Linked DNA regions of Rhinolophus ferrumequinum. The protein of the gene in region 4 interacts with the protein of the main gene of each other region in a pairwise test. Links are inferred from orthologs where the notes say so. Each region holds a gene or a part of one and is shown on either strand. Other genes may lie near its edges.

Evidence for each region.
Region 1: the proteins of PRMT1 (region 4) and SPEG interact in binary tests that used the Homo sapiens proteins (3 or more experiments, as listed by UniProt). The two-hybrid records come from large-scale screens. The link is inferred for Rhinolophus ferrumequinum from reciprocal best matches to the Homo sapiens genes PRMT1 and SPEG.
Region 2: the proteins of PRMT1 (region 4) and BTG1 interact in a two-hybrid assay, tested with the Homo sapiens proteins (2 studies listed by BioGRID). The link is inferred for Rhinolophus ferrumequinum from reciprocal best matches to the Homo sapiens genes PRMT1 and BTG1.
Region 3: the proteins of PRMT1 (region 4) and HNRNPR interact in binary tests that used the Homo sapiens proteins (3 or more experiments, as listed by UniProt). The link is inferred for Rhinolophus ferrumequinum from reciprocal best matches to the Homo sapiens genes PRMT1 and HNRNPR.

Annotation. Positions count from the first base shown.
Region 1 is NC_046291.1:16,084,579-16,092,150, forward strand, and holds the start of SPEG (striated muscle preferentially expressed protein kinase), read right to left. Parts: upstream 3,009-7,572; 5' UTR 2,882-3,008; coding exon 2,503-2,881; intron 1-2,502.
Region 2 is NC_046293.1:83,572,586-83,580,435, forward strand, and holds BTG1 (protein BTG1), read right to left. Parts: upstream 3,020-7,850; 5' UTR 2,706-3,019; coding exon 2,558-2,705; intron 1,623-2,557; coding exon 1,255-1,622; 3' UTR 310-1,254; downstream 1-309. UniProt on the Homo sapiens protein: Anti-proliferative protein.
Region 3 is NC_046292.1:15,936,366-15,943,803, reverse strand, and holds the start of HNRNPR (heterogeneous nuclear ribonucleoprotein R), read left to right. Parts: upstream 1-4,428; 5' UTR 4,429-4,584; intron 4,585-7,438. UniProt on the Homo sapiens protein: Component of ribonucleosomes, which are complexes of at least 20 other different heterogeneous nuclear ribonucleoproteins (hnRNP). hnRNP play an important role in processing of precursor mRNA in the nucleus.
Region 4 is NC_046298.1:44,757,607-44,764,479, reverse strand, and holds the start of PRMT1 (protein arginine N-methyltransferase 1), read right to left. Parts: upstream 3,004-6,873; 5' UTR 2,884-3,003; coding exon 2,848-2,883; intron 668-2,847; coding exon 614-667; intron 410-613; exon of another isoform or gene 312-409; coding exon of another isoform or gene 294-311; intron 79-293; coding exon 1-78. UniProt on the Homo sapiens protein: Arginine methyltransferase that methylates (mono and asymmetric dimethylation) the guanidino nitrogens of arginyl residues present in proteins such as ESR1, histone H2, H3 and H4, FMR1, ILF3, HNRNPA1, HNRNPD, NFATC2IP, SUPT5H, TAF15, EWS, HABP4, SERBP1, RBM15, FOXO1, CHTOP, MAP3K5/ASK1, MICU1 and NPRL2.

The DNA.
Region 1 (7,572 bases), on a different chromosome or scaffold from region 4:
CCCTGACCAGTACCTATCGTTGGGCAGGGACTGGTGGGGGGAAGGCAATAGGAGGAGGAAGCCAGACTCACCTGGTCAGTCCCCCATACCACCAAAGGAAAGCCCCTCTCTCCCCCAAATCATGTGGGAGGGTGTAATAGCTAAGCGCATGGTTCTTTGCAGTGGGACAGACTGAGACTTCCATCCCTGCTCTGCCACCTTCTATCTATACAGCAGGACATGTCATTTCATTCCTCTGCACCTCAGTTTCCCCAGGGTTGCTGTGGGACCTAAATGATATGTCCAAGGATATGATAGCATATTGCCACACAGTAGCATACTAGCTATTCACATTATTATAAATTACTACTAATTCATAATAATAAGGCTGCTCTTAGAGTACAGATTTAACCGGTAGGAAAAAGTTCTTAAACATGACTTGCTGAAGCCCAACACTCTTCGTGTTTTAACATGACTGTCAAAAGGCCCCAAGTCCAGGGCCACGGCACCCAGGGTCTTTTCCTTTCCCACACTCTGTTCCACCAGAGCAGCCTGGAGACTGGCCCTTGGCCTCCATCTAGGTATGCCCAGCCAGGCCTCAGCTCTGCCTGCCGTACCACCCAGGTTACAGAGGAGCTGAGGAGACAGTACCATCACTCCACGCCATTGGGGGACCTAGGCAGGCTAGGAGGCTCTTGTGTTCAGACAGGCCAGTCCTGGGATACGTTCCATACAATGGACAGCTCACCTTCCCTTTCTCTCTCCTTCCTCCAGAACTCCTTGAATAGTAAAGAGCTTCCAGAGTCAAAGCCAGGAGGATTGGGTTCTTAATTCTGGGGCGGCCATAACTAGCTGTGTGCCTTTGGACAGATCTCCCTGTGCTCTGGACCACAGTGAACTCACCTGTAAAAGGAAGCGTCTGGAGCTGCAGTTCTCTGTGGTCCTTTCTAACTCTAAACAAACCTTGTGACCACCAACCTCCTTCCTCAGCCCTTCCTTTTCCTTCCCTAATATCTCCCTCCACTGCGCTGTATTCTCATCAATCTGTCTATCAGGCCCTTCGATTTAGGTTCTGTTTTCAGCCCCCTTACGAGACCGGAGCTAAGATTCCTAAGAAGTCCGATCCTTCCCCAGCTCAGAGGTTTGCCAGAATGGGCCTCATCCTCCAACACCAGCCGGGAAAGCCTTTATCTGGCCAATTACAAAGCCAACCAAGAGAAGCCAGCCGTGGACCAGTCGTTGAAGATTGTTAGAGGTGGGGCATAGTGGGGCTAGGGAAAGAGGAGATGCTGGCAGAGGGAGGCTGAGCCCCTGCTCCATCTCCTGACTTGGCTGCACCTTAGAGTCTTCTTTCCCCTCCAGCTTCATCCCTATGCCTCCTCCTCAGTCCCCAAGGATGTACCCCACACGATACCGCCCAGCTGGATTGAGAATTCCCTCTTGAAAATTGCCCAGGACATACTCAGTGACCCCCAAACTCTTTGCCTTGTCCTCTAACAGCACTCTATTTCCTCAGAATTCTGTTCCTCAAGGTTCAGTCAGCCTGAGGCTCTGCCTTCGGCCTAGAGAAAAATTGGCTGGCTTAGGGGCTGAGGAGGTCAAAAAGGAAGAACAAACATGGACCCAAGGAGAATTGGCCCTGGCCAGGCACCCACACCAGCCTCAGCAGGACCCTGAACACCAGGCCCAGCCTCAATCCCCTCTACTCCTGCCTTGGACTACTGTCTGTCCCTTCACACAGGAGCCTGGCACTCTCTGTCCACGGGGGCAGGGTCCCAGGGACCTGCCTGAGCATCCCTTTCCACGCCCTCCGTTCTTCAGCTAGATACGGCCCGGAGGCTTTCCACACCAACTCCACAAACCCCATCCCTCCCCTGCTTATACCACCAGACCCCTCCACAGCCCACACACACATACACAAGCACATGCACATGCTGACATGTGGATTCTCAGGCACCCACCTCCACACACGCTTGGGAGCCCCTAGCCCTAACTCTACCTCTTGATGCCCTGAACCCTATTTATTCATACTTGTCCACCCACTGGCCTCTTCCAACCAGCCTGATGCCGAGCACACCAACCTGCCTCAGCAACAGACTGCCAGGAGCTCTGACCCATCCTCTCAATATTTCAGGGGGATCAGGAGGGCTGGCTCCCTCTCTTAGACCTGTTGAGCTGATCAGGATTCTAAAGTCTAAGTGACTGGAGCTGATGAAGACGATTTTCCACAGGTGGCCTTTTGCTACAGGGAAACTAGGAGGGTGTCCACTATGAAATTCCCAGAGAGGCCTGAGTGGGGCTCAGGCTTTGTTTACCCAATGCTGACCCTTGACCTCTGACCTTCCTGTGGGGAGCTTCTCTACCTTGACACCCCTTTCCCTGCACTTCCCTCTTGGTGGGCCCTTCTGGGTCAGCGCAGCTGAGAAGCCAGAACACCTGGGAAGAAGTCTGGATGAACCCACGTGGCCTGGGGAAGCGCTTCTCTATCTCTGATCACCCATCCAGCCGCCACCTCCCCATTACCTGGGACCTCCAGCACTGTGACAACAGCCTCACAGCAGGCCTGGCCCCGCTCGTTCTGGGCCCTGCAGCTGTAAACGCCGGCATCCTGCGCCCTGCAGCTCCGCAGCCGCAGGCAGCTGGGCTCAGGGGCTGGTGGGGGCAGGAGTTGCCCATCACGGAACCAGCTGAGGCTGGGCTGGGGCGTCCCGCTCACCACCACCCGCAGCCGCAAGTCACTGCCCACAAACACAGCCGCGTCCTTCAGGGGCCGCAGGAAGACTGGTGCCCCCATCACGGCACCTCCGCCGGCCCCCACCTTGGCCCTCTTCGGGGGCACCCCGGGGCTTGGGGGTGCCCTCGTGCCCGCCTCCTCGCCTCGCGTGCCCCGGGCTTTCTGCATGACTTCTTAGAGCTGGGCTGTGGGGACACTGGAGCTGATGGTCACAGGGGCACCAGGAGGATGGTGCCCTGGAAGACGAGTCCTGGGGGGCCGGCGCCCTGCCTTCCTGCTGCCCGCCCGCCTTCGGCCTGTGCTACCCAGAAGGTCACCAGGGCGGCCAGCCGGCAATTGCGCCTCGGGGGCTATTTTTAGGCCCCCCAGCTCGGGTTTCGGTTTCGAGGGAGCCGTGGAGGGAGGGGGTAGCAGAGGAGGGGACTTGGACTCCACTCCGCTCCTTCCTTCCCTCCAGGGGCCCCCATTGCCCCTCAAGTTTAAACAGGTCCCAAGCCTCTCCCCCATGGTGGGTCTGTACCCCAAGCCCACTCCCAGAATCAGGTTACCCCTGGGCTCAGTCCCATTTCCCTTCTTCCCTACTCTCAGGTCCCTGAGTCCCAGGCCCACTGGGCTAGAAAGAGGGACAGGAGGTCTTGGCTGATTTGTCTGAGAGGCAGATAGGAAGGAAGGCCCAATGGAAGTGAGTAGAGAGCCAGAGAGCAGGGACTAGTGGCTCCTGCAGCCTCCATGACAGCCTGGTGAACAGTAAGACCAGGAACAGGGAGTCGTGGATTCGGGCTCTCAGCTGGTCTTGCCTTTCTTTACTTGCTGGGTGACATCAAGTCTCTTTCAACCTGCAAATCCTAAACTGTAAAAATGGGTCGTTGAATAGGGTTGCCATAGGAGGAGAAGAATGGGAAGGACATTCCAGGCAGAGGAAACAGCATGACCAAATCAGAGCATGATGACAGTACACGATGTGTTCTGAGAATCAGAAGAGTTTGGAAGGATTGAACTGCAGTGGGGAGGGGTGAGTGGAGGTGGGAGATGGGCCTGACCCAGGGAGCTTTGCTTGCTAAGTCTGTATCCTGACGGCCATTGGGTGCCACTGCAGGGTGTTAAGCGGCAGGATAACATGGTGAGAGCTGTGTGTTGGAAGAATCTCTCTGGCAGCCACAGTGTGGAGAGTGGATTGGACATGGGAGAGCTGGGGGCCAGTGAGAACTATGATTTGCAAAGTAGGTGCCTGTTAAAAGTACAGGTACCCAGGCCCCACCCTCAGAGACACAGGTTCAGTAGGGGGTGCTGGGAGGGTCCAGGAATCTGCACATTTAACAAGTGGCCCAGGTAACTCTGATGTATCTAAAGGTTGCACTTTGGAAAACATCAAGACAGGACATAACCACTTCTAAAAGTCCAGGTGAAGCTTTTGTGATGGTATAGTTCTGTAACTTGACTGCGGTGGTGGTCACATGAATCTACACGTGATAAAATTGCATAGAAATAAATGCATTCACGTGTGCGTGCGCACACACACAAATGAGTGCGTATAAAACTGGTAAAATCTGAAGAAGGTGGATGATCTATGTCAATGGCAATTTCCTGGTTGTGATATTGGATCATAGTTATGCATGTTAAGATGTTACCCGGGGAAACCAGGTATATAGGGCATCTCTCTCTGCATTGTTTCTTATAACCACATGTGAATCTACAATTATTTCAAAACAAAAGCTTTTTAAAAACAGTCTAGGTGAGAGGCACAGGCCTGACCTTGAGCCCTGAGGGATGAAGCCTGGGAAGGCAGAGAGCAGCCGCAAGAGGAATCCTGAGTCATTCGGAGATGGGGAAAGCTACTCTTGCTCTTCCCTCCTTATCTGCCACCTTCATTCTGGGAGACAGAAGCCAAAGTGTACTTGTGTGTGTGTCCATGGACAGGGTAGAGAAGAAACAATTTAAACACTGAATTATGTCCATAGGGACTGAGAGCCTTGGGCAATGCAATTATTTTGTTGTTTGCACACATTAAAGCTTACTCTTCGTACTGTGCAGTTCTCCGGGTTTTGACAAATGCAAAGAATCGTGAATTCGCTACCCCAGGACCATATAGAACAGTCTGATCACCCTAAATATTTGCTTGGGCATCCCCTTTGTAGTCAACCACACCCCCTCTACCAGCCCCTGGCAACCACTGATGGATGATTAATTGATTCTTAAACATAAATTGAAATCTAAAAGGTAAAAATGTAAGGGCAACGTATTGCAAGTAGATGGAACATCAAGTACGAAGGACTAGAGACTGTCCCAAACCACCTAGCCCTGTGCCTCAAAGATTTGCATGGAATGCAGCAGGTGGTGTGTAAATTTTGGTTGGTTGGTTGGTTGGTTGGCTGGCTGGTTGGTTGGTTGGTTGAATTAACCTGTGTGATGTTGAGCAAGTTATTTAACATCTCTAAGCCTCAGTTTCCTCATCTGTAAAATGGGAGTAACCCAACTCAGGGCTTAGTCATTCATTCAACAAATATTTTTGAGTTCCTACTATATACCTGGCACTGTTCTAGGCACTAGAACAATATAGCAGTGAACAAAACAGACAAGGATTCCTGTCCCTATGTTGCTTATATTCGAGGAAGCAGACAAACAAATATAAAGAAATAAGAAATAATAAAGATCGTGAGAAGGAGATAAACACTGTGGAGCAGGGTAATGGAGATAGGAATGTGCTGGGGGCTTGCATTTTCAAATAGGGTAGTTAGAGCCTTGCTATCGTGTTTCCCCGAAAATAAGACCTAAATGGAAAATAAGCCCCAGCATGATTTTTCAGGATGACATCCCCTGAACATAAGCCCTAATGCGTCTTTTAGAGCAAAAATTAACATAAGACCCAGTCTTATTTTCGGGGAAACACGGTAAATGAGGAAGCAAATGGTGCAGATACCAGGCAGAGGTGGGCTCAGGGAAGAGCCAGGCTGGAAGGAGTGAACGGGGAAGAGTGGAGGGACGTGAGGTCAGACAGGTAGCAGGCGCCAGGTAGCCTATATCTTGTAGTCCATGGCATTTTTATTCCTGGTGAACTGGGAAGTCATCTCAGAGGATTTTAAGCTGAGGAATTACATGACCTGACTTAGGTTGTTGTGATGGCTTTAAATTATTATATAAAATATTAAAATGAATATTAACTATTCAAAAGGGCCTGGCACAGAGCCTGGAACATGGCTTGTGTCTCCTGTCCGAGTATTGGCAATAGGGGCATTTGTTGATGTGTGCAAAGGGATATGTGGGCCTGGGTAGGGAGGGCAGAGGCCGGGTGGAGTCGCTGGCGCCCTCTCCTGGAGGAGCCCACACTAGCTGTGACAGCAGGAAGCCATCAGGCTCTGGCCAGGCTCGTCACTCAGGGCAGCTGTCTGCAAAGCGCTCATCTGTCCCTCAGAATGGGCCCCACAGTGCCCCGCGGCCTGGCGCTGGGCTAGGTGTGTGCTGCCAGTCTGCCCTGCCTAGCGATCACAAGCCTATGGTGTCATGGAAAGAGATCTGGGCTCTGGAAGCCAAGGAGCCTGGGGCCTGGTCCTCCTCTGCCACAGATATGCTGTGTGACCTTGGCAGTTCACCCCACCTCTCTGGGCCATGGGGAGCTTCCTCCGAGTCATGATGGACCATGTGCCTGGCACATGGTAAAAGCTCAGTGAATATTGGTTGAATCAGTGAATGAAGTGGGGGCCATCAGCCTTTCTGACAAATACTTAATTTAGAGAAAAGCAAATAAAAGTGCCCAGTGAATATTCATTCAACAAGTATTTACATTTTTAATGAACGCCTTCTATGAACCAGACACTCTTCTGGGCACCAGGGACACGATAGGGAATAAAACCAATAAAAAACTTGCACTTGGTTAGCTGACATTCTAGGTGTTGAATCAAAGGTCATTGATGTATTTTCACATGTGTCTTGGGCAAGCTTGTGGTAAGAAGAGGACTAGGAAGTGGCGAATGGGTGGAATGCACTGTCCCGAGGGGCAGGGGTGGGAGGGCAGCCAGAGTGGACAGACAGGGTAGGAAAGTGCCCGCTGAGTCCTCAGTTCCTGGCTTAGGGACATATTCGCCTCCACAGTCCTTCCTACTCCACCCCCTCAGGTGGGGTCTGAGTTGGTCAGGAATTGGTCCCATGAGTCCGGCAGGAAACCCGTCAGTCTTCTGTGAGCGCTCTTATTTCTTAATGTACAGAGTATTGAAGGAGAAGATACCAAGTGTCCCCAGAAACGGAGAGGTTTTGCCGTGGAGCTGATGGGGAATGTGTGTATGACACATAAGACACAGATAGTCTTTGGTTTATTTTCATCCATTCTCTGGGAGCACCACTGCCATCTCCCTAAACTAGCTTCTCTGGGTCACTGTCCACTTCCCAAGGAAAGAGACAAAGCCGAGGACTTAGAACCAGAATTGCTAGTCCCAGGAAGTCTGTGCTTCCCCACTGGGGACACAAGGTGAGTTTGGGCCTCCTCTCTTCTCTGGGGACAGGTGGGTAGTCGACACAGGACACAGATGTGTGCTGAGAAGGATGGGCTTTCTGACTTTCAGAGCTGTCCCCAGCTAGAAGGGGGCCACCATGGAGGGGGTGAGTTCTCTGACCCTGGAGACATTCAAGCACAGCTCAACGACTGCTCATGAAGGCTGACGAAGGAATTGCTGCATCGTGGGGGCCTGCGAGGTCTGACGGTGTCTAAGATTCCTACACTCCCTCCACTTCAGTGACTAGTCTGCACCAAAGCTTTTCTTTGGAGGATGGGGCTGCCTCTCAGACCTTCCCTGATATATGTGTCCCTTTGTCTTTTGTGGGGTGCACATAACTCATTCAGGAGTGAGAACGAGCCGCGAGGCTCCAGA
Region 2 (7,850 bases), on a different chromosome or scaffold from region 4:
TGGGAAGCAATGAAATGTAATCCTTTGAGTTATCACTTTTGGTAGTTGTTACCTTTGTCTCTTATCCTCATTTCCTGCTTTTAGCCTGGCAATATGTCCATGTTTTAACTTTAGATTTTAATAAAAACTTGTTACCCCTGTGTTTCTTGTAACAACTAAGTATGTATATAGATGCTCTCCACTCCTTATCAAGTAAATGTTCTTCAGCATGACCTGTGTGCAACTGACATTCACATAGCTTATAGGCCCTAAGTCTTCTGAGGAATATATTTCTTTAGCTGAACCTCTACAATCAGGACAAGAGATTGATTAAAATGCCAAGATAAGAAACAATTTATTATAGAGAGAAGAAAAATTTCTCATCCAAAATATAGAAATCTGTACAACTTTGCCACAATCAATATACATGAACTGTACAAATTTACACCAGTTCATAATTTACCAAATAAAAGATGACTAACAAAGTTCACAAAATAGATGGTGGTTTGTGGAAAAGACTTTTACCCAATTAAGTACAAGGAAAGTTACAAACCAGACCTCCACTTTCTAAAAATAAGAAGTTTACTCAGTCTTAGAAAACTACAAGCTAGCAAATGTACAGAGAGCTGGCTGGTGCTAACACCACAGTTGAGACAGTGTCTTTTTAATGGTCTTAATTTTTAAAGCCTGTTGCCATGGCAAATTCTGGTCACTTGCTACTTTCAAGGCCAAAAACACAATACAAGGTCTGACCATTTCCCCAGGTCATGCTTACTAGGTTTGTCTTATGTACATTTATACATATTTAAGTGCTAGGTAAAAGTCTTGTCATAAAATTTCCAGTACTACCTTGTTTAAAATGTTGAGCTTTCCTACTGAGCTGCCAAAAAGTTAACAATTTTCAAGTGTAATAGTGCAAATTTCCTCTGCAAGATCTACTGCAGAGAAAGGGTCTTTGAAATACAGATTTGCATTAAAGGGATTGATGTAAAAATTTAGGTATTATGTCTGGGAGAAACTGTAACCACCCTAGGACTTCACTCCCTAGCAAATAGTGATCATTTACTTGGACTCACAGGCTATTAAATCATTGAAAGGTACTGTCCAAACTATGGCACTGTCACTTAAATTTTTTTTTTACCACTCTATCTTGTGCCAGATCTTCACAGCTGTCACATGGTTTAAATTCCATAATCCATCCCCAAGAGGAGCCCACCCAAAGCAAAAATCAAATTTATCCATCCATTATAAGATGATCCATCCATAGACTATATCTTAACCTGATACAGTCATCATATTGTAGTTTTTGGAAGGGCTTGTTCTGCCCAAGAGAAGTTCCTCCTTACAGCTGATTCTGCTGTCTACCATTTGCATGTTGGTGCTGTTTTGAGTGCTACCTCCTGCTGGTGAGGCTTCGTACAGCACACAGATGGAGCCATCCTCCCCAATTCTGTAGGACACTTCGTAGGGGTCAACCCAGAGTGTGAGTTCACTTGGGAGAAGCCTGAACAGCTCCTGACTGCTCAGTCCAATCCGCTGTGCTGCCTGTCCAATCAGAGGATCCATTTTATGGTTGATGCGAATACAACGGTAACCTGATCCTTTGCACGGCTTTTCTGGGAACCAGTGATGTTTATAATGTTCTATAAAAGAAAAGAACAGAGAAACAATGCTTAGATGGTTAGTGGTAGTAGCTCCTGCTGGACTTTCCTTTTTCCGCTAGCTCCTCCGAGGGGTGAAAGTGAAACCTATCAACTTTTAAAAATGCCCAGGCTTACATTCGGGGTGTGTGCTCGGAGATGGATAAAGATCCGGCAGGGTTTTTGAAACAACACAGTAGTAGGGGACAAAATAATCTCCAGGAACCAACCGGTTGAGCCGCCAAAAACAGTAATCACGCGCGCTACCCCGGCCAGCCAGATGGCACCGGCGGCCAGGCGGGAACCTGTTTACTTTCTCCACCCCACCCCACCCCGGAGGCACACAATGGGGTTTATGGCTTTGGAGTAGAGACGCACCACCGCACTATTACCCCGAAGGGAAGAAAAACAAGCAACCCTAAACCACGCTCTGCACAGGGCTGTATTTGTACCGGTGACAAATCCGATGATTAATGGGCTGGGGTAGGAGGCGCGCAGAGACTGCACGTCCGTCCCAGGCTGGCTCCGGAGCAGCGGCTCGGTTTCCCATTCCCAGGCCGGGTCGTCGAGCAACGGCTGGAGGGAGTTAGGGGGAGGGGGCATCGAACCAACCGCTCCTTTGTCCCCAGTTCCGCGGACGGTCCAAGGACCGCAACTCCCGCCTCAGTTGGCTTTAGTTTCTTTGTTGTGCGTCTGTTTTCTTCTCCCCTCCGTTTGCCAGTCGTGGGGGAAAGGGGGCGCCCTCCGCCTCGCCCCCAAACCCTTGCCGGGACCCGCCGTTAGCGGCCGCTCAGCGCACCAGCCCGGGTCCCGTGGCGGCACTAGAGTGCGGCCGGCCCGAGGCGCTGCCGAGAATCCCGCGACCCCGACGGCCCGGGCGGGGGATACGGGCCCGCATACCACAGGCGCCCCTCGCCCTCTCTCCGGGGCCCACTCACCTGCCAGTAGCTCCTGCAGGCTCTGGCTAAAGGTCTGCAGCTGTCGCTCGCTCGTGAGCCCCTTAGTGCGGAGGAACTTGGAGATGAAAGACACGGCGGCGGCGATCTCGCCTATCATGGTGGCGGCCCGGGTGTAGAAGGGATGCATGGGGGCGGCGGGCGGGGGCGGCCCGGGGCTGCCCGGGTTCGGCGGTGCGGCCCCGACGGCGGAGCGGCCACCCGGGCTCTCTCACAGGTCAGAGAGCTGAGAGCCAGAGAAGGCGTGAGGGGCGGGCGGCTACTTTTTTTCTCCTTTCTTTATAGTAAAAAAGTTCTGTTCGAGATAGGAGGCGGCAGGAGAGAGAAAGAGACGAGCGATGGCGGCCTGGTCACATCGCTCGGACCTCCCCAGCCGCCTCCGCCTCCAGTTCCGCAGGTTCTGAAGCTTCCAACAGTTGCATTTCCAGCTCCGAGGGGCAAAGAGATGCAGGAACCGTGCAGCACTTTTTATAGCGCCACGGAAAGGAAGTGCGTAGCTGGAGCGTGACGGCCGACTCCAGCCAATCCAGAGATCGCACCATTGTGACGCAAGCAGATTCGGAGCCGGAGGGGGCGGGAAAAGGGCTAGGGGGTGGGTCCAGAGACCGGGAAGAGAGGGAGGAGCTGACGTAATCCGCTTGTAAACAAATAAACACCCGAGCGGCGGCCGGAGACTAGGACGAAGGAAACCGAGGGTGCGCGTGTGAAAGCCCCGCCCCCCGTCCTAGCTCCTCCTTCCGGCGTCTGCTTCTCGAGGCCCTGCGCCTGTGCGTCCTCTGCAAGCATCTGCGGCCGGGGCTCTCTTGCAAGGAGGCTTGGTGTTGTACAGATGAAAACCGATCTGCTCTGGCTGTCTATACGCGCGTCGGCTGCTCCGGTCGAGCCGCACCTCCGCAGTGTCGGCCCCCTCGCGCACTCGGTGTTTACATCCAGTCCCAGTTCCAGGTCTACGTGGCTGGCTCCCCGAGCGGGAGACGTGGGCGAGCGGGTGCCCGTGCCGAAGGTGCTGGGGGCGCGCGCATCAAAGATGCAGAGAAAAGGGGGAGGGACCGGGCTCTCGGAGGGCATTCTGCAGCCTCAGGAAGCCCAGGTCTCCTCGCAGAAGTGTAACCAACACCACGGGGCAGTTTCTGCTCCACCCTTGGGGAAGAGTGGGGAGGGTGTCTTTGTAAAAGTTTAATTGCAAATTAAGTAAATAAAAGGTTAGTTAGCCTATTTTGGTGGTTGTTTCAGTAACTTAAGGAGTCAAGAAGAGTGGACACCTTCCTGAATCCAGCTTAGTGCTGATAGAAAAGCTTGTTACTGAAGATAAGTATATTAATAGTAACCTGGATCCTGTGAACTGTAGTCTATAACTGTAGTACATTAAAAAAAATAAAATCTGTAATGTAATTTACACCGTTTATACACAAAAACCAAAGATTGCTGTTTTCTACTCCAAATAACTGTCGGAACCTTAGAGTTCTGCTGCTCTTTAATAAAAAGAAGAAAATAAAGATAAAGTCTGAAGCTTGTGAAAGTATTAGGCGTAGACATTTAAGTTTACTGGAAACCCTACCTTCAAAACTAGAAAAAAAGACTGGCAGGGAGGCGTGAGCCTGATAAAACAATTAGACCTAAAAAAGGGTTAACCAGAACTCCATTAAATGAGGAGAGAAAAAAAAAAAGATGGTGAGGCAGGCAGATGGAGAAAGCAAACAGGAGGCAGAAAGTTGAACTCTACCAGATGGAAATAAATATCCTGAGCTTAGTTGGTCATCAATATTGCAAAACACACCACTTTGAGTTTTTTCTCTTTTTTGAATACTGAGCCAAAGGGCATAGAAATGAAGCAAAAGTGGGACTTCTTATAAAGTGGAAGGAGAAAGAGAAAAAGTTTGACTGTTTACATGAACTGTGTAAAACTGGGTTTGAAAGAATAACTTCTAGATTACTGTTTCATTCATACGCAATAGTTAAGCAGTTACATGTGAAATAACTTAGGTACTTTAAAAATACTAATGTTAAAAACATTGACTTGGGAAAGTATTAATTTTCTTTAAATAAATGCATAAAGAATAATGGTAAATAAAGTACATTTGTTCCCTTCTAGGACTTTTCAGATAGAATCGTGCTTTAAAAATAAGCATCATGATAATTACTTAACTGGGGACTTGAAACCTCTTTTACTACTCAGAAAGGAGGTAGGGAAACAGAAGTAAATCCTTAAAATCACCATGGCCCTAGAACAAGATCTTCTGATATCTCTCCTAACACTACCCACCCTTAAGTATCTGCTCTGTTCGTTTTCCTCACATTATCAGTCTTTTGAACTTTACCGTGTTTCCCCGAAAATAAGACCTAGCCAGAAAATCATCTCTAATGCATCTTGTGGAGCAAAAATTAATATAAGACCCGGTCTTATTTCACTATAATATAAGACAGGGTCTTATATAATTAATATAATATAATATAATATAATATAATATAATATAATATAATATAATATAATATAATATAATATAATACCGGGTCTTATATTAATTTTTGCTCCAAAAGACGCATTAGAGCTGATTGTCTGGCTAGGTCTTATTTTCAGGGAAACAGGGTAGATTAGAAATCCGGTGCAAGTTTATCTCCTTTAAGCTGTTCTCCACGTGGATTCTCAATAATTCTGAGCTTAAACTGATTCATCTACAAAACAAATAATGAAGCTAACAAAATGCTAGGATTTGAACTCAGACTTGTCTTTCAAGGCCATGTTCTCTCCACCACTTTTAACCACCTTCCCAGGAAGCAGCTGAACCCTTCTTGAAAGTTTTTTAAAATCAATTGAATAGGGTTAACAAAAAGTTTAACTCACATATCCCTGAAGTGTTTCTCCCCACTGTTTCTTTTATTGTATGTGTGTATTTCCCACTTTAATTCATTCCTTTAAGAGACAAATGGATTGAAGAAATTACTGTTTTACCTGGGGGTTCTAGGGAGAGCTTAGGAAGAAAAAGTAAATAAATAAATATTGGCCCTAAATGCAAGCTTTAGATAGTGCACAATGTTAATTGCTAATAGTTTTCAGTTCTGGACATACGTATGTTTAGTAATATTTTTCCAGAAGTTTAGTCAGGTTCTTCCCTTCAAAGAAACAATCTGATATTTAATGATAGCTTTAGGATTATAATGACACTTTTCTCATGTTGTAGTTATGCTAAACTACAGGACAGTCCCAACTATTTACGGACTCAACTCTTGGCTTTGTGTCGTTAAGCAAGTTACTTAACCTCTCTGCACAGTAATCTAAGAAACACAAAGGCTGTTGTGAGGACTCAGTGGAATAACTACAGAAACTATGTAGCACTGTCTCCAGCACTAAATAAGCACTCAAATATATATATATATATATATATATATATATATATATATATATTAGCTGTTTATATTATCAGGCAATTTGACAATATTATTATGAAATTAATTTCTAAAACCTAGGAAGTTTTCAATCAAAGCACTAAAAATAAATCTTAGGAATTCTGTCCAAACAAATCCAGAAAATGAACCTGGGTTTCAAAATAAGTTTCAAATAAAAGCACACATGTCAGGTCTTTGGAAACAATGCTGAAGAGTTCAGAAAGTACTTTCGTAGAGGTAAGTAGTGGACAACTAACTAGAATTTCAAAGGGCTGGGGATTTATATTCCTGTCCCTCAGCTCCAATGTTACTGAACAGTTTGATCTGGACTAACAAGTCAGAGTTCCCTGTAGACCTTTTGAACCAAAAAGAGAAAAAGAAAAATAAGCAATAAGGTAGGGAAATGAACTTCTTTTTTCTGCTTCATAAACCAGTAAAATTTAGGGATCAACACAAGGTTGAAAATCTTTTGTTTTGCCAAACTTTTTGTTTTTTAAATCATATTACCATCTGCTATCGCTATCATTTTGGGGAAAAGATGGCATTTTAACATCCCAAAAATAGGAAAAGTATCCATATCAAAATAAAGCATGATCTTCATAATTATAGTAATTAATTTAAAATCACTGAATGTCTTGTTTTGCACTTCATCGTGACCTTGCATTTGGGAACTTTTCTAAACTATTAACCTATGAATCTGATAGCACTACATGAAGCTATTATACCATTCATTTTATATGCTATTCCCACTGTCTGGGATACCTGGTCTCTTTCCCCTTTACCTAGCTAAGTTCTGCTCATTCTCCAAGCATCCTTCTCTGGCCCTCAGGACTCAAGTAAATGTCTATAGTGTTGTGCTTTCCCTTGCCCTGGCTTTGGTTCTTATCAGATATACTGGATTTACTATGTTTTCTAGTCTCTCTTCCTTTCTAGTCTGTAAGTTCTTTGAGGGCAGGCATCTGATGTCATTCACTCTTGTACTCCCAACCAACAGCCTGGTGCATGGTAAATACTGTGTAATGATGTTAAATAGACGTATCTAAATACAGATGAGTCAAAACAAAACCATTACTTACAATTTCTCAGGTGAAAAAGAATATAGAGAAAGTTTTTACTGCTTAAAATCTGATAGTCAGTATTTGAGGGGAGAAGAAAAGTTAACTCTGTAGCACTTTTTTTTTTTCCTCGCTGCCGTGTTAGATTATTGCATTAATTGCTTCCAGAATAGACTGCATTTCCAAAGCAAATGAAATGGAGACCAAGTTCACTTAGAGGTGTTGCTCAGGAATCTTACGGTAATGTCCACATTGCCTCCATTTAAGGTTTTTTGCTTTGTTTCCCCTAATGCTATAGACACATTTTAGTATTTTTACCCCAGGTTCTGCATGTGTGTCGTTTGCTTGTTTGCTACTCTCTCATATCGCCATTCTATCCAGAAGTTGCTCCTGAGGTGACCTTCCTATGTTCTAGTCTCTCGCTTTAATCATGTGATCCAGGATTTCCGGATTATTGTTAGGAAAGTCCCAGAATTTTTTAAATGCTGTATTACAGTTCACAAGTTTGTCCAGAAGACCTCCCCCAACCTTCCTGTGTAATACCACCGAGCTGAAGTCTTGCTCTCATCTGGATCCTCCCCTGCCCTGAAGGTACATTTAGGCCCTGTGACTTCCAGACTTGGCTGGAGGCAGCTGATTGTTGCTTGCCAGCTAGCTGCATTCACTAAAGTTATATTTATTGTGAATTTACTTCCAAATAGGGTCCTAGGTGTCTGTGGTGCTTCCTTTGGAAAACTTACAGTTTAACCAAAAAGTACAGAGTAGAGCGGGAGACATCTTTACAGAGTATTCATAGTAAATAGAGACTAAGCATTTGTTTTTGCGTGTGTTTGGGA
Region 3 (7,438 bases), on a different chromosome or scaffold from region 4:
AAGAATGTTGTGTTAAATTCTTCCATGAGACCAAGTGTTCAGCACTCTTAAATTGGATTTAACAATCCTAATTGGACTTGAAAGTTGACTCTCGCTTTCTTGAGTCAGACTAGGGGAGTGGGAAGGTGGAAAGGAGAGCTCACTGTGCTATCTTTCTTTTTTCACTTTTTCCATATTCCCTTAACAGAACCCAAGGACAACAGAGAACTCATGAAAAAAAATTAAGGACAAAAAGAATTTCAAAATCAGAGACGACCAATATTAGGTTTGAAAATATAAAGGCTTAAAAACAGGGAGGTTTGATGTTATTGGTTTTGACTCATCTCTTCTGGCTGTATAGCATAAAGAGACTATGAAGTCATTATAGGTAAATATTTACAAGACATTTTCTTTTCTATCAAATCTATCCAAAGGACTGTTGATCCCCAGTGCTGAGATCTTGTGAGGCCACAATTTTTGTTCTTAGATACTGTTGCTTCTTAGAACGAATTCAGATTGAATTGAGAAGCCAATTTGCAAACCACATGAGGAAATGTTCTCATTATCTTATATCATAGTTTGCTTTGGACCCTAAGTAGTATTCTCCAATTTATTCATCAGATTGACTATGATTTTTGACTGGTAAAAATATGCACCACTACAAGTGAAGAATCTGACAATGCTGAGACTTGAATCGAAAAGTAGCTTGATGAATCAGGTTTGGAGTCACACAGACCTGTATTTGAGTCTTAGTTTAGCTATGGGGCCTTGAGCAAATGTTTTAACCTCTCTGAGTCTTGTTTCCTCAATAAAATGGGATAATATTACTAACCTTTAAGGTTTCATGTAAGGATCAGCAATAGCATATGTAAAACACTTGACACACAGTAGGAGCTCAATAAGTGATTATTGTTTAAAACGTTATGCCACTAAGATGGAATTACACTTTCTTTCCATTTTAAAACAGCTTTGATGAATTTGAGAATTAGAAGGAAATTCAATAAGCCAACCCAAGGATAATCTTCCAAAGAAAAGATGCTACAAAAATTACAATAAAGCAGGAGTGCAGTAAGGTCTCAAGGCAAGTTGACTACAAGCTATTACTAGTTAGCCATATGGCACCTTATTTTTTAAATGAAAGACAAACAGCCTTCAGCGCTGGTCAACCTTGATTGGAACAGCCCTGTTTGGGAAAATGCCTTAAAATAATAAAAATTATTAACGTTCGATGAAGAAAATAAATAGTTCTATTTGACAATGGAACAATTCAAGGGAGAACTGAAGTTTTGAAATAAAGCTGAGTAGAGGACTCTGGGCACCTAAGTGTTAGCAGAGGTTGGTGGTTGATGCCCTTTTTTCCACTAACAATCTACATGTGATATTCATTTTCATTTCTCTATCCTTTTCTTCCTTTTTGCATTGTTTCCTTTTTTCCTTTCTCCTGTCGCTGCCTTTGAACTGTGGGCAGGTTGGCTTATCCTTGTTATTGGCAAGTGAAGGCATTTTGAAGAGGCTGAATTGATGTAATCTTGTTTGTAGTCTGAGGAATAGACTCAATGTTATGAAAGGGACAAGCATGATGAAGATGAATCTAAGGGCACAGTAAGAAGGTTTGATGATTTAAAACATTCTCTGTTAACTTCAAGTTGTAAGTAGTAAAAGTAAAAGCTTCAGTTGGAATATTCTGGTACCCGGTAATTGTTTTAAGAAGCAAAAGTATGTTCAACATATTAGCTCAGACCACAGATTTGGTGTGTGACAACATATTAGCTCAGACCACAGATTTGGTGTGTGACAGGGAAGGGTTGTGGAATGGCCTGGCTGCACTGTGTTATCTCAAAAGATTAGGGATATACCAGTAGCTGGAGCTCTCCTTAACAACTCATTTTTATTATGTTTATTTGCATATCTGACCTGCCTTGTGAGCTCAAATGTAAGCTCTTTGAGGACAGAGATTGTATTTTATTCATTTTATGTTCCCTACTTTTAACAGTGATTTGTATGTAGAGGGCATGCAATAAATATTTGTGGAATATTGAATTCATGAATACACACACAGTCTTTTTTGGAAATGCAATGCTCAGATGACCATATTTTCTAAATAAAAGAACTAAAACATATGGTCTGAAATGGTGGAGTATACTTATGGGATTATATGGCCAAATACTTTAAATATTATCCCAGAAAATACTGAGTGATAGAATTGCTTTAATTACAATATCCAGCCCAGGGTTTCTTATCCTGTGGCTAATGGACTTAAAAGAGTCTCTGAACGGATTTCAACAGTCCTTCAACTGGGATGGAAAAAAAATAGCACTTTTATTTTAACTAATGTCCAACTGAAATTCAGCATTTTTCCCCCGTTGTGAATGTGGCAACAAACCACAGTAGAATTAGCAGTACCTTTCATTGTCAATAGAAATCACAGACATTTTTGTATCATATTATAGTTGCTATGGATTTCTTGAAATACCTTCTAATTGCTTTAAAATTTCAGTAGTTATTGGACCCCCTGCAAGATCTTGACATTTAATGTGTTAATAAAGAAAAACAGATTACTGTCACAAATTTGTTTTTAAAATGTTTCCTAATCATATTTCAATATAGTTTCTTTTGTAATGCTATATATTTTATTTTAAAACCTAGAAGAGTTACATAGCTTTTACCAGACTGTCAAATGGTACAAAATATGTTAAGAACACTCAAGCTAGAGACTAATAAATTTTAAACTTCAAGGTCCCTCGCTTTTTACCATGTCCTTCCTACCGTGTTTCCCCGAAAATAAGATCTAGCTAGACAATCAGCTCTAATGCGGCTTTTGGAGCAAACTTTAATATAATACTGGGTATAAGACCGGGTCTTATATAATAAATATAATATAATATAATGTAATATAATGTAATACCGGGTCTTATATTAATTTTTGCTCCAAAAGATGCATTAGAACTGATTAGGGTTTCCGGGTGGGAATTCCCGCCCGTTCTCAGGAATTTTTTTCGCTTTCCCGGTCCGGAATCCCAAGATACAAACTGTTTTCTGTTCTACACGGTGAATCGTTTCCACGAAGTAACAGCCGGTACTACCAACCACCTGGGTTCAAGGAGCTGATTTTCCTGATTTCCTGACCAACTTTTCTCGGGATTCGGGAACAGAAAAGTGAAAAGAATTCCCGAGAACGGGCGGGAATTCCCTCCTGGAAATCCTAGAACTGATGGTCCGGCTAGGTCTTATTTTTGGGGAAACATGGTAGACTATTCCTATTCATCATTTTATAGTATTTTGTTTTTAAAGAACCCAACATTTGTTTTAAGTTTCACACTCCATAGCACAAAACTTTGATGCACCAAGTCATTTAGCTCGGTACTGGGCACACAGTGAGTTTCCAATAATTAATTTTTGGTTGATAGGGTCTGAGAAATTTAAATGATATTTGAGCGTATCTGGAAATCCTGCAGACCACTGCTTGACCCTCTCCACTCCCTCACGGGTGGGGCTTTGGGGGTTAGGATAGAGGTAGGGAGGGAAGGGCTGGCTCTACAGAAGTGAGTTTGGAGGGCTGTGGGATAAAACAGATTTGGATTACCGCAAGGACAAGGAACAAAATTAGTAGGCGCGGAAGGTGAAAAACAGGTTTAGAGATAACAGGAATTAGTTTACTTTGAGGAGCAGTCCTTTTCTCTACACGGATTTTTGGCTTCATCTGCCCTATCTATTTATGAATATTAATGAGCTCCAAACCCTGTGGGGAAAAAAAGCCCTGCTCTATCATTTGTGAGTAACATTGTTTTCAGTTTTGCCCACCTGAGAGATTTCGCTCACATTCTGAGCTGCTCCCAACGATGTGTGGAAGGGAGCCAGGGAGACAGAGGGGCAGTGTTCCGATCGTTCCAAGCAATTATTTTCTACACGAAATTCCCCAAACGACCAGCCAAATCAACCTTCAATCGTGTTCTAACAGGAGTCCAAAAGATGACCTAGAGGGAGGCCCGACCGCGTGGCGGTGGGCGTGTCTGGGGCGAAAGCTGGCGGCGGCGCCGCTAAGGGGGGCGATTAGGGACGCTGCGGTACCGGCGAAGGGGGGTGGGCCGCGGCGGAGAGGGCTGGCGCGGACGGTAAGGGGCGGGGTTCCGGAGGTGGCCACGCGGTGCGAGGCCTAGGGCTTAGATCTCGTGTCGGCGGCAGGCAAAAAGGGAGGAGCCTCGACCCCCCAGGGCCTGGTGCTCCGCAGCCTTGCCTCTACTCGGGGCTTCACCACAGACCCCTTTGTGTTCCTACCCCCGCCCCGGAGGCGCCCCAGCCAGTGGCGCTGAGTTCTCTCATTGGTTCAACTGACGGCTTCATCGATTGGCTCCCGAGTCGTCCGGCGTGGTACGCCTCTTATCGCTTCCATTGGTCGCCTGAGCTGCCTCTCAGGCCGTCGCGCGAGGTGATTGCCCGGCCACTCGGAGTCCCTGGAAGCAGTTCCGGGAAACCCCGCGTGCTGCCGGGATCGCGTCTCTGTCCATGAGGGGGGGCAGGGGGTGGCGCGCGCGCCATTTCTAGTCGTTTTCAAAGCGCCTCGCGCTGATTTTCACGGGCCCAGCCGTCGGCCCCTGCTCTGCCCTGGTGAGTCTCGCGCCGGCCCGTGGGGGGAGGGGCCGGGAGCCCCGACCGACCCTACTGGGCCCGGCCCGGGCTCGGCGCCTGGTCCCCAGTTTCGTTTTCCCTCCGAGGTCCCGGGTGGGGGTGGGGATGGGCTGGGGGCGGCTTTGGCCTCGTCTGGCCGCCCAGTTGAGGGCCTAGCCCTGCTGAGGCGCATCCTCGCCCTCGTTCATCTCCCCCCCGCCCCTCCAAACCCCGGCCCGCGGGGCCGGCCTGCTGAGCGTCCTCCGCGCGGCCTGCAGCGGTCGGCAGTGCTTTTCCCGCCTCCGCCAGCCGCTCCACGCGGCCCGGCCGGCGGCCTGAGGCGCCCGCGATCCTATCGCTTCTTGCGGGAGCCGCCTCGCTCCCATCTCAGCCGGCCTAGCCACGAGTGGGATGTGTTGATGGTCGGGATGGGCTTGAGGGGGTGGGGTGGGCAGAGGGCGGGATGCAAACCCCGGGTTACATGAGCGGAGAAAACTTTTGTGGGAAGCAGAAGCCGAAAGGCCGACGTGTGTAGGAAGCCTCCCCTCCCCCATTCTGCATGCTGCGAGCTGATTTGAAGGAAAAAATGACTACTAGAGGCCATGAAACTTAGGCTTCAAGCAGCGCCTGAGATACATAATTCTAAGAATGTCCTAGGCGCAGTAAATTGGAAAGGCAATTATTTTTCTTATACGGTAGTAACCGTATTGCCAATATTTAAAACTTAAAGCCACGGGGTTCTTGAAAGGTCCAGTCTTTTCACACTGCCTGTTTGAGATTTTTGCTGTCCTCAAAGGCTGGATTTATGTCTCATGAGTCAGTCGTAGGATAAGGGCTTGACACTCCTAAATCATGAGATAACCGTTAGTTTTCATTTCGTTGGTTCTTTTACAGCTCGTCTCTTAATTTGCACAGAGATGTTTTAGAAAAAGTCAGGGAGGGGCGAGTGCTGAGTTCCCTAATTTCCCAGCAGCCCTTTTAAATCTTAATGAAATTTCTACTTTTTGCAAAAAATGCTTAGATCAAATGACTCCAGTCACATTAGTATTAGTATATTTGCTGCATCAGAAATATGGTTTGGCTGTGTGGCATTGTATTGAATTGAAACAAGAGTTTTAAATGGTCTCATGTGACCTAAAAGTCTTTTTTAAATGAGCACATTATATTTGGCTTGAAGAGAGGTTTTCCCTTGATCTGAAAGGTTTTATCTTCTGGAATCTAATTATTTTACATTTTTTTGTTAAAGTTTGCAAACTTTTTTTTTAATTTCAACCAATTTGAGAATCAACTTGCAGAGAGCCTTTGCAATGAAATAGTAATCATAAATATTTCTATCTTATGCTTAATATGCAGCTTGTCTCTTTGCTTTACACATACTTTAAAGAGCACACCACTTTAACAGATGTTCATCGAACTTTTCTGTTAAAAATTTGCTTTCTTTCTGTGACTAATAGTATTTCCAGGTGCAATACAGTGAGGGTCTTGTGATGCTGAGAACTTTTGAGTTCTGATGATCTCGTGGTTGTATTTGGGGGTGGGGGGCGCATGGGAAAACAGAACTATATGTTCACAAAGAGACTTTGGACTTTAGGATGCATCTATAGAAATAGGTTGTATTCAGCAAACATATTCATCTTTTACTATAAGTAGTTTCTTGATCAAAGTATGCCAGTTTTGAATGTTTTTGTTTTGCCAGTTCATCAGAATTTGAGGCTTGCCTTGAGAAACATTGATCCACCCAGAGTTTAACCACAGAGTCTGCGTCTGTATAGACATTAGTGGGCTATGAAGTCTTAATGATTTGTAATCATAAGAAGTCATGATATTGTTTATCTCATTTTCAGAGTAACTGCATTTTCCTCTCTTCCTACTCTATTACCTCCTTCCTCTCGTCTTCCTTTTTCATTAACTTCAACTAAATATTAGTGGACTTTGAAATGAAAAGAAGTTGTTTAAGTCAGAAAACTGCACCTGATACATTTGCACAGTGTTCGATAAGCAGTCTGGAAGTATGGTTATCTTACGAGTTGCTTTCTAGGAAACTTGTATTTTCTCTATAGGTGACTAGTTATCTTGAGTTTCATCAAGAAAAGTAGGCTTTTTCTTGAGATCCACCTTCATGTTCTTTATTTCAGTATTCGTTACAATGTCTTTATTCTGCTGCTTACTATCTTCATCACATTATAATTTCACCACAGATAAATGCACTTTAATTCTGTCTTTTGAGGCAGTATAGAGACTTGCCTTGTTTGTTTTTATTATTTAATCACTCTCTTCGGGGAGTTGGTTCATTTCAGCATTACATACAGGCTGAATATACAAAATGATGTGTGTAGGCTAATCTCAGCCATCTGACCTAAGTTTATCCTAATTAAGTAGTGTTTGTTGAAACAATTTGGAAGAAGTTAGCTTGTCCATTCCTCATTATGTTTTTGCAGCTTTATTTTACTGATACGAAAAATTCAGTATGTACTCATGATTTTTTTTATGAAGCAACCTCAACTACAGCTCACTTTTTATTTTGTGTGGACTTAAAACAATCGTTTAACTTTTAAACTTGGTCATTTTTTCTTTTAAATCTGTGAATGGCAATAGCAAATTAATTTTAGAACAAAAAATAATGTCAAGTTGTGTTTTTTTTTGTTTTAAGTGAGGCGGAGAAAGCCCAAACCACCAGTGTGTTGAACTAGAGACAACAGGGCATTTATTTCACACCTATCTTGGATTTGAAGCAGAGCTAGGAAAATTTGAATATTCTTAAACCTTGACTAAGTGGTCTGTGGGTGTTCATTATGTTTCCAAACCAAATTTTTAAAAACTGTATAAGAATTGAGAGCTGAGGGGCTTTTTAGGA
Region 4 (6,873 bases):
GGAGTCAAAGTAGTAATCTTTGGACGTCATGTCCTCAGCGTTGGGCTTCTCGCTGCTTTCTGCCTGGCCACAGGAGACCTGGGAGGGGGCGGAGGGGAGCATGAGTCAAACCTGAGGGCTCCCCAAAGCCTCTTAAGCCTCCAGGTCCCTACTTCTCCCTGGAGTAAACCCCCAAAAATCGTACCATGGCAACCCTCCTGCCATCTTGCCTCCCCCAGAACCCCAAAACCTAAAACCCCATTTTCCTCTTGTAGGACCCCCCCCAGAGCACCATCCAGGGAGTACCCCAATACCTCAGCCACGCCTACCATCTCTCCAGTCTCTCTGCCCCCGTCTCTAGCTCAGCCCACAGCTGGGGAGGGGAGGGGAAGGCAGAACTGGGGCAAACACAGGGAAGGGCAAAGGGGGGCTGGAAATGGAGTTAAGGAAGCAGCCACAGTATTTGGGGAGGCCTGATGGGGGCCACAAACCTGGAGGTGTTTGTACTAAGTGTTTCGGGGGTATGGGGTAAACTGGTTTGAAGCAAGAGGGATCAAGGTTAGACTGCTAGAAAGGGCCTATTGTGTGGCAAGATATCTTAATGTGGGGAAGGGTCTCACAAAAGGATATTTACTTCTTCAAGAGGCGGCTGGAGGCTCATCCCATTAGCCAAGGTGGCTACAAAATTCTAGGAGAGAGTAACAGGGAGAAAGGATTAGCTACTGGGAGTGGCTAGGGGCAGGCCAGGCCAGGGGACCCTGGCTCTTGGGGGCGGGGGAGGTGTTTCCTGCAGATTTCCTTTTCCTTGGTGGAGTGGTGACAGAGGGAGCAAGTAATGAGGCAGGGTTGTTTCCAAAAGGGGTGGGACAAGTGGGGGGAGAAGGGAGGGGTCTGTCTCAGCTGTGGCTGGAGAGATGGCGGACCACGCCCACATTACCCCTCTCTGGCCAGGCACCTGACCATACACACCTCCCCCATCTAGCCCAGAGGAACTGGCATCCGCTGGGCACACAGGCACTGCCAGCTGTCGCTCCCCCTCATCATCTAATCCCCCCAGATTAGGTGACACTTCCTGACATATACCCTCAGGCTGCAGTGCCATGAGTAGCTAGCTGGAGGAGGGGGCTGCCAGGAGGTACCCAACTGGGCATCTGCCACTTCAGCAAACGAGTCTCTTGTCTGAGAGATTCCAGAAAGGAGGTGTGGCACACAGGCACCCCCACCAGACCTGGCACTCTGGCCCCATGCTCCTGCCTTGGGCTCTGGAAGCCCCAAATAAAACCAGTTGGAGGCAATCTCTTTGCTTATTACCCTCTACCCAGAAGGAACAGTCCCTGGGAAGAGGCCAGACTGGACCCTCGAGCCCATCTCCCCCCATTCAGACACCCATCCCATGCCCAGAATCCACCCAGCTGTGGGGCCAAGTCCTGAGGCAACCTCTGGAGAAGATATTTCCTCCACCCATACAGGCCCTGGTCCAGGAACCAGCCAAGGGGGATGGGAGTCATTGGAGTGACCCTGGGGAGCTGACCTCCACTCCAGAGAATGCTACAAGGTAAGGGATGGGAGTACAGACGCCTCATCAGATTACACCTCTTCCAAAATATGACCACCTTTCATACTCCATTAAGTGTGAAGTCACTGGCATGACCCACGGGGCTCCAAGCCCCACCCCCATTCTCCCAAGCCAGTGAGGATGACTACAAAGGCCGGCTGGTAAGGGGATTTCCCACTGGGGCCCATTTCTCAATACCACTGATACCACCGCCAGACAAGGCCCAAAGGGCTTGAAACAGCGCCAGGAGCCCACATGGCTGCACAAGAACCAAGCTCTTGGGAAACCATTTCAGGGATCCAGGCCCAAGGACCCTCAAAACAGGGCTTCAGGAAAGGGGAGGTCATCTCCCACCTTCACAAATGCCGAGGGGAGAGAAAAGGGGGTAAAACTCGCAGCTTCCATTACATCCCCTTCCCAGGAGATGGATTCTCCCTCTCTTCGCCCGGGAGGCCTCCAACGGGATGGGACAGTGGGCTATGAGACACGCCCCATGAAAAAGATGTCCCACCCACACACCCAGAAATGGCCACAAGGGGGTGCCCCGCGCCTTATCTGGAAGGATCTCCTTCAAGCTTGAGGCCCCACCACCACCCAGACGGAGGTCACAGGGGCATGCCCCATCCCCCCCAGTTCCCAAAGCCCCTGCCGGGGGAGAATCCAGGGACAGGAAGTGGAGGGTGGGGGGCGGGAGGGAATCAATTCTTCGTCTTCCTCTAATCCCAACCCAAAAGTGCACAAAACCTGGACCGATGCCTAAGCAGATGCCCCTGTCCAAGGAAGGGGGTTGTAGAGTGTCGAGATACACCGCCCCTCCCAAGAGACTCTACTTCGCGGAGGGCCCCAACTAGATCCCATCCGGAGGGGTACGTCGCGATCCCCCGGGAGGAAGGCTGGGGGCCTCCGAAGGAGGGTCGGAGCCTCCTCCCCGCCCCCCCGGGGCGCCCCTCCCCCGGCCAGGGGCGGGGCCTTTGTCCAGCACGTGGAGCCCGCTGGGCCACCGGGCAAGGCACACCCCCTCCCCACCCACCGCGCCCCGGCCACGAGGGGGCCAGGCCGGAAGCACCCCAGCCCTCTTCCACTTGAGAGGGGGCACGAGACCATCGGCTTGGCGGGACAACGCAAGCCCCCGAGAGCTATGGAAACCGCACTTCAAACGGTATTCCTGAATCCGGAGCATGGGGCCTCCCTTCCGTATAGCTGGACGCCTTTAGCTCCCATCCACCAACCCGGAGCCCCTTCCCCACGACGGACCCGTGAAACACCAAGCCCCCAAACCGTCGCCCGCCCCCGGCGGCGTTCCAGATGCTCACCTCCATGATGCAGTTTGCGGCCTCGGCTGCCGCCATCTTCACCCGCACCTACTCCTCCAGCCGCCAAGACCCCCCCTTCTCCGCACTCCCCCGGGACCGCCTTATACCGGAGGGTCCGCGGCCCGCCCACCGCGACCCTGCCAAGAAATCTCATTGGTAATGGAGGCGGCCCGTCTGGGAATACCGCTTAGCAATTGGGCCAAGTAGACGCTCATCAAAGTTCAGGGGCCCTCCCAGTCTGGCGTGCAGAGTCCCGCCCCCTCAAGTCGACAGGAGTGGGAAAGACTGCCCGTCTATCGCAAGAAATGTAACTGATGATTGGCTAAAATCAAGCAGGAGTTCCCGCCCCTTCCCCCCAGCACCGCCTCAAAGCTTCCCGGCAGGCCACGCGCTAGCGGACATTTTGAAATAAATCTGTCCATCACTGAAACGACCCGCCTCTTAGCAGCCGCTACTGAGTTATCCAAAATGTGACGTCACGAAGCCTTTGGCAAGCCCTCTCCAAGCGGCTGGTCTCAAGAACACGGCGATTGGCCTACGAGGAGGGAGGAAGCAGGGCTTTAGACTCCAGCGATTGGCAAAAACTAACTGTCACTCGTCCGTTTGGTGGATTCTCCCAGTCCGAGGGGAGTCCAAGAGGAGCAAGGGTGATTGTGCTCGTCTACCTGAGGGAAAAACTGAAGCAATGAGAGGCCAAGAGAGAGAGAGCGAGCTTGTCCAGGGTCCCGATGCAAGTCAGCAATAGGACACAGAAGTCAAGGCATTTAAACTCAAGCCTTCTACTTAAGTATTCCCAGATTTTTAAACCCAGCGACCCCACTCAAACCATTTGGCCTTTGCTAAGTCCCTTCCCTGCCACAAACACCCACCTCCCTTTGTCTGCCAACTCCTCCTGTTCGTCAGTCAGGGTACAGCTTAGACACCACCTCCTCCAGGGGGTCTTTCCTCGACCTGCAGAAAAAGTTAATAGTTGGATGAAAATGAATGCAATTTGTAGAATATATCCATCTCCCCAGAAAGTTCCTTCATGACCCTTTCCAGTTAATACCTCCCCCACCCAGCCCCTGAAGCGATCACTGTTTTCTGTCGCTACAGTCTAGCTTTCACTTAGCTAAAGTTTCCAATGAATGGAATTATACAGTATGTGCTCTCTTGTGTCTGTCTTCTTTTACTCAGCATAATGCTTTTGATATTCATCCAAGTCGTTGCATATAACGGTTGTGCAATCCTTTTTATTGCTGAGGGGCACTCCATTGTATGGATGGATCAGTTTGTTTATCCATTTTCCTGTTAATGGACATCTGAGTAGTTTCCAGATTGGGGCTATTATGAACAAAGTGACTATGAACGTTCATGTACAAGTTTTTCTGTGGACACTCATTTCTCTTGTTAAATTTAGCAGCAGATTGCTGCATTGTATGCTGGGTATGTTTCATATTATAAGAAACTGCCAAAATGTTTTCTTGTGTATTCTACCATTTTGCATTCCCATCAGCGATGCACGAACAGTTCCATAGCTCCACATCCTGGCCAGCACTTGATCAGGCTTTCATTTTCACCAGTTCGGTGGGATGAAGACATCTCATTGTGGTTGTCATTTGCATTGCTCTGGCCACTCACGTTCAACCTCTTTTCCTGCGCTTAGTGGCCATTTGTGTATCTTCTTTTATCAAGTGTCTGTTTAAGTCTTTTGCCTATTTTTACAAAGGGTGTTGTTTCTTTATTTACGAACTGTAAATGTTCTTTATGGATTCTGGATGCAGGTCTCTATCAGGTATAGCTACTTTGAATATTTTATCCCAATCTGTGACCTGTCTTTTCGTTTTCTTAATGTTGTCTTTAGAAGAGCAGACATTTTAAATTTTGAGGAATTCCAATTAATCAAATATCAGATCCCACATCTTGACCCTTTTCCTGTATGCTGTATGGGTCCTAAAGCAGTTTTTTTGTTCGTTTTTGCTATTTTCCCAAATGTTTCAGCAAGGTTATTTTTGTTGTTGTTTTTTGGTTTTTCACCTTTTTGTCCCCTAATTTCCAAGTAGTGTATATCTGACCTAATAAATTACTTTTGCTCCGTACAGCTACTAAGAACAAAAAATTTTAACAAACTATTTCTACAACGCTAGGGAGTAACCTAAGATCATTGAAAAGGAGATGGCACTGGACAGGAGGACACACAGGTATACAGCTCAGGGGAGAAGTCTGAGCTGGAGTCAGAAATGGGGAAGTTGTCCCCGTCAAAGTTTGCATTTTTCAAGATGGCAGATACTTGCCACATAGGGCAATTGGTTAATGTAGTATGGCAAGTCTGAACTGAGATGTGCTGGGAATGTAAAACATACACTGGATTCTGGAGACTTCATATGAAAAAGAATCTGTAAATCCGTAATAGCTTATTAATATTTTTATGTTGATTACATGTTGAAATGATTCTATTTTGGATAAACGGGATTAATAAAAATTATTGTTAAAATTAATTGACTTGGGGCTGACCTGGTGGCTCAGGTGATGGAAGCACTGTGCTCCTAACGCCGAGTTCACAGGTTCGATTCCCACATGGGCCAGTGAGCTGCACCCTCTACAGCTAAGATTGTGAACAACAGCTCTCCCTGAAGCTGGGCTGCCAGAGCAGCCAGAGGTAGGCATGAGCTGCCCGTGGGCTGCTGTGGGTTGCTGTGTGCTGCCATGGCCTACCATGTGCTGCCAGGAGCGGCCGGTGGCCAGCGTAAGTGGCCAGCAGCCATTGTGAGCGACCGACCTCTGGCAACTGACTGCCTGGGGCGGGGGGCGGAGCGCAAGGCTCATAACACCAGCATGGGCCAGGGAGCTGTGTCCTACACAACTAGACTGAGAAACAATGGCTTGAACTGGAGTTGGGGGCTCAGGTGGAGGAAGGGGGAAAAATTAATTGACCTGTTTCTTTTTACTTTGTTTAATGTGGCCACTAGTGCATTCTAAATAACATACTATATGAGCTCATGTTATATTTCTGTTGGCCAGTGCCACACGAGGTCACAGTCCACGAAACGGACCAGATCACTGGGGAGTTGGTGTGATTAGATGTGTGGTTAGAAGCACACAGACATCTAGCAGGTATTCTTGACTTGGGTCAAATTGAAAATTCAGTTGTTTATGAGCTGGGATGATAGAAACTTAATCTCTCACTAAACCGGAACTTGGTACTTCCTTCAATTATAAATTTGGTCAACTTATCAAAGATCCTAGGATTACCTTCTGTGACCTGGTCCCCAGCATAAATCACAGATGCTTGCATGTCACATGACAGTTTTTGATAGATAGGCATATGGTGGGCAGAATTCTAAGGTGGCCCCTGTGACCTCTGTCCCCTAGTGTTACACACCAAGGAGTAGGTTGGATTATATGACAAAGGAAATGAATGTCACTCCCTTGATTAGGTTACTGTGTATGGCAAGGGTGAACTGATTTTGCAGATGCTGTTAAGGCCTCAAACAAGTGAACTTTAAATAAATCAAAAGGGAGATTTTCCTGGGTAGGCCTGACTTAATCAGATGGAAGCCCTTTAAAGGGGGCTGAGGCATTCTCTAAGGTCACTGATTCTCCTGCTGGTCTATCATCACGAGTCCTACAGGTACAAGAACATGAATTCTACCAACAGCCATGGGCGCTGGAAAGAGGACCCTGAGACTCCGATGAGGTGGAAGCTGAGACCCTGACGGCACCCTGAACAGTGCACCCAGCTAAGCTGCACCCACATCCCTGACCCACAGAAACTGTGATTAGTAAATGTGTATTAAGCCACTACACAAACTGTAAGTTCTACATTTGTGTGATTTGTTACACAGCAATAACAATAATACATCTGAAGATGTCATTCCTGCTCTATTTAGAAATATGGTTCTTAATCACTTCGTATGTTATATGAGTGCCTAACCACTGCACTGTCCACCTGAAATTAACATAAAATAATATTGAATGTTAACTGTAATAAAAAAATATATATATTTTTACACGGAATGTAAAATACAGCATAGGGAATATAGTCAA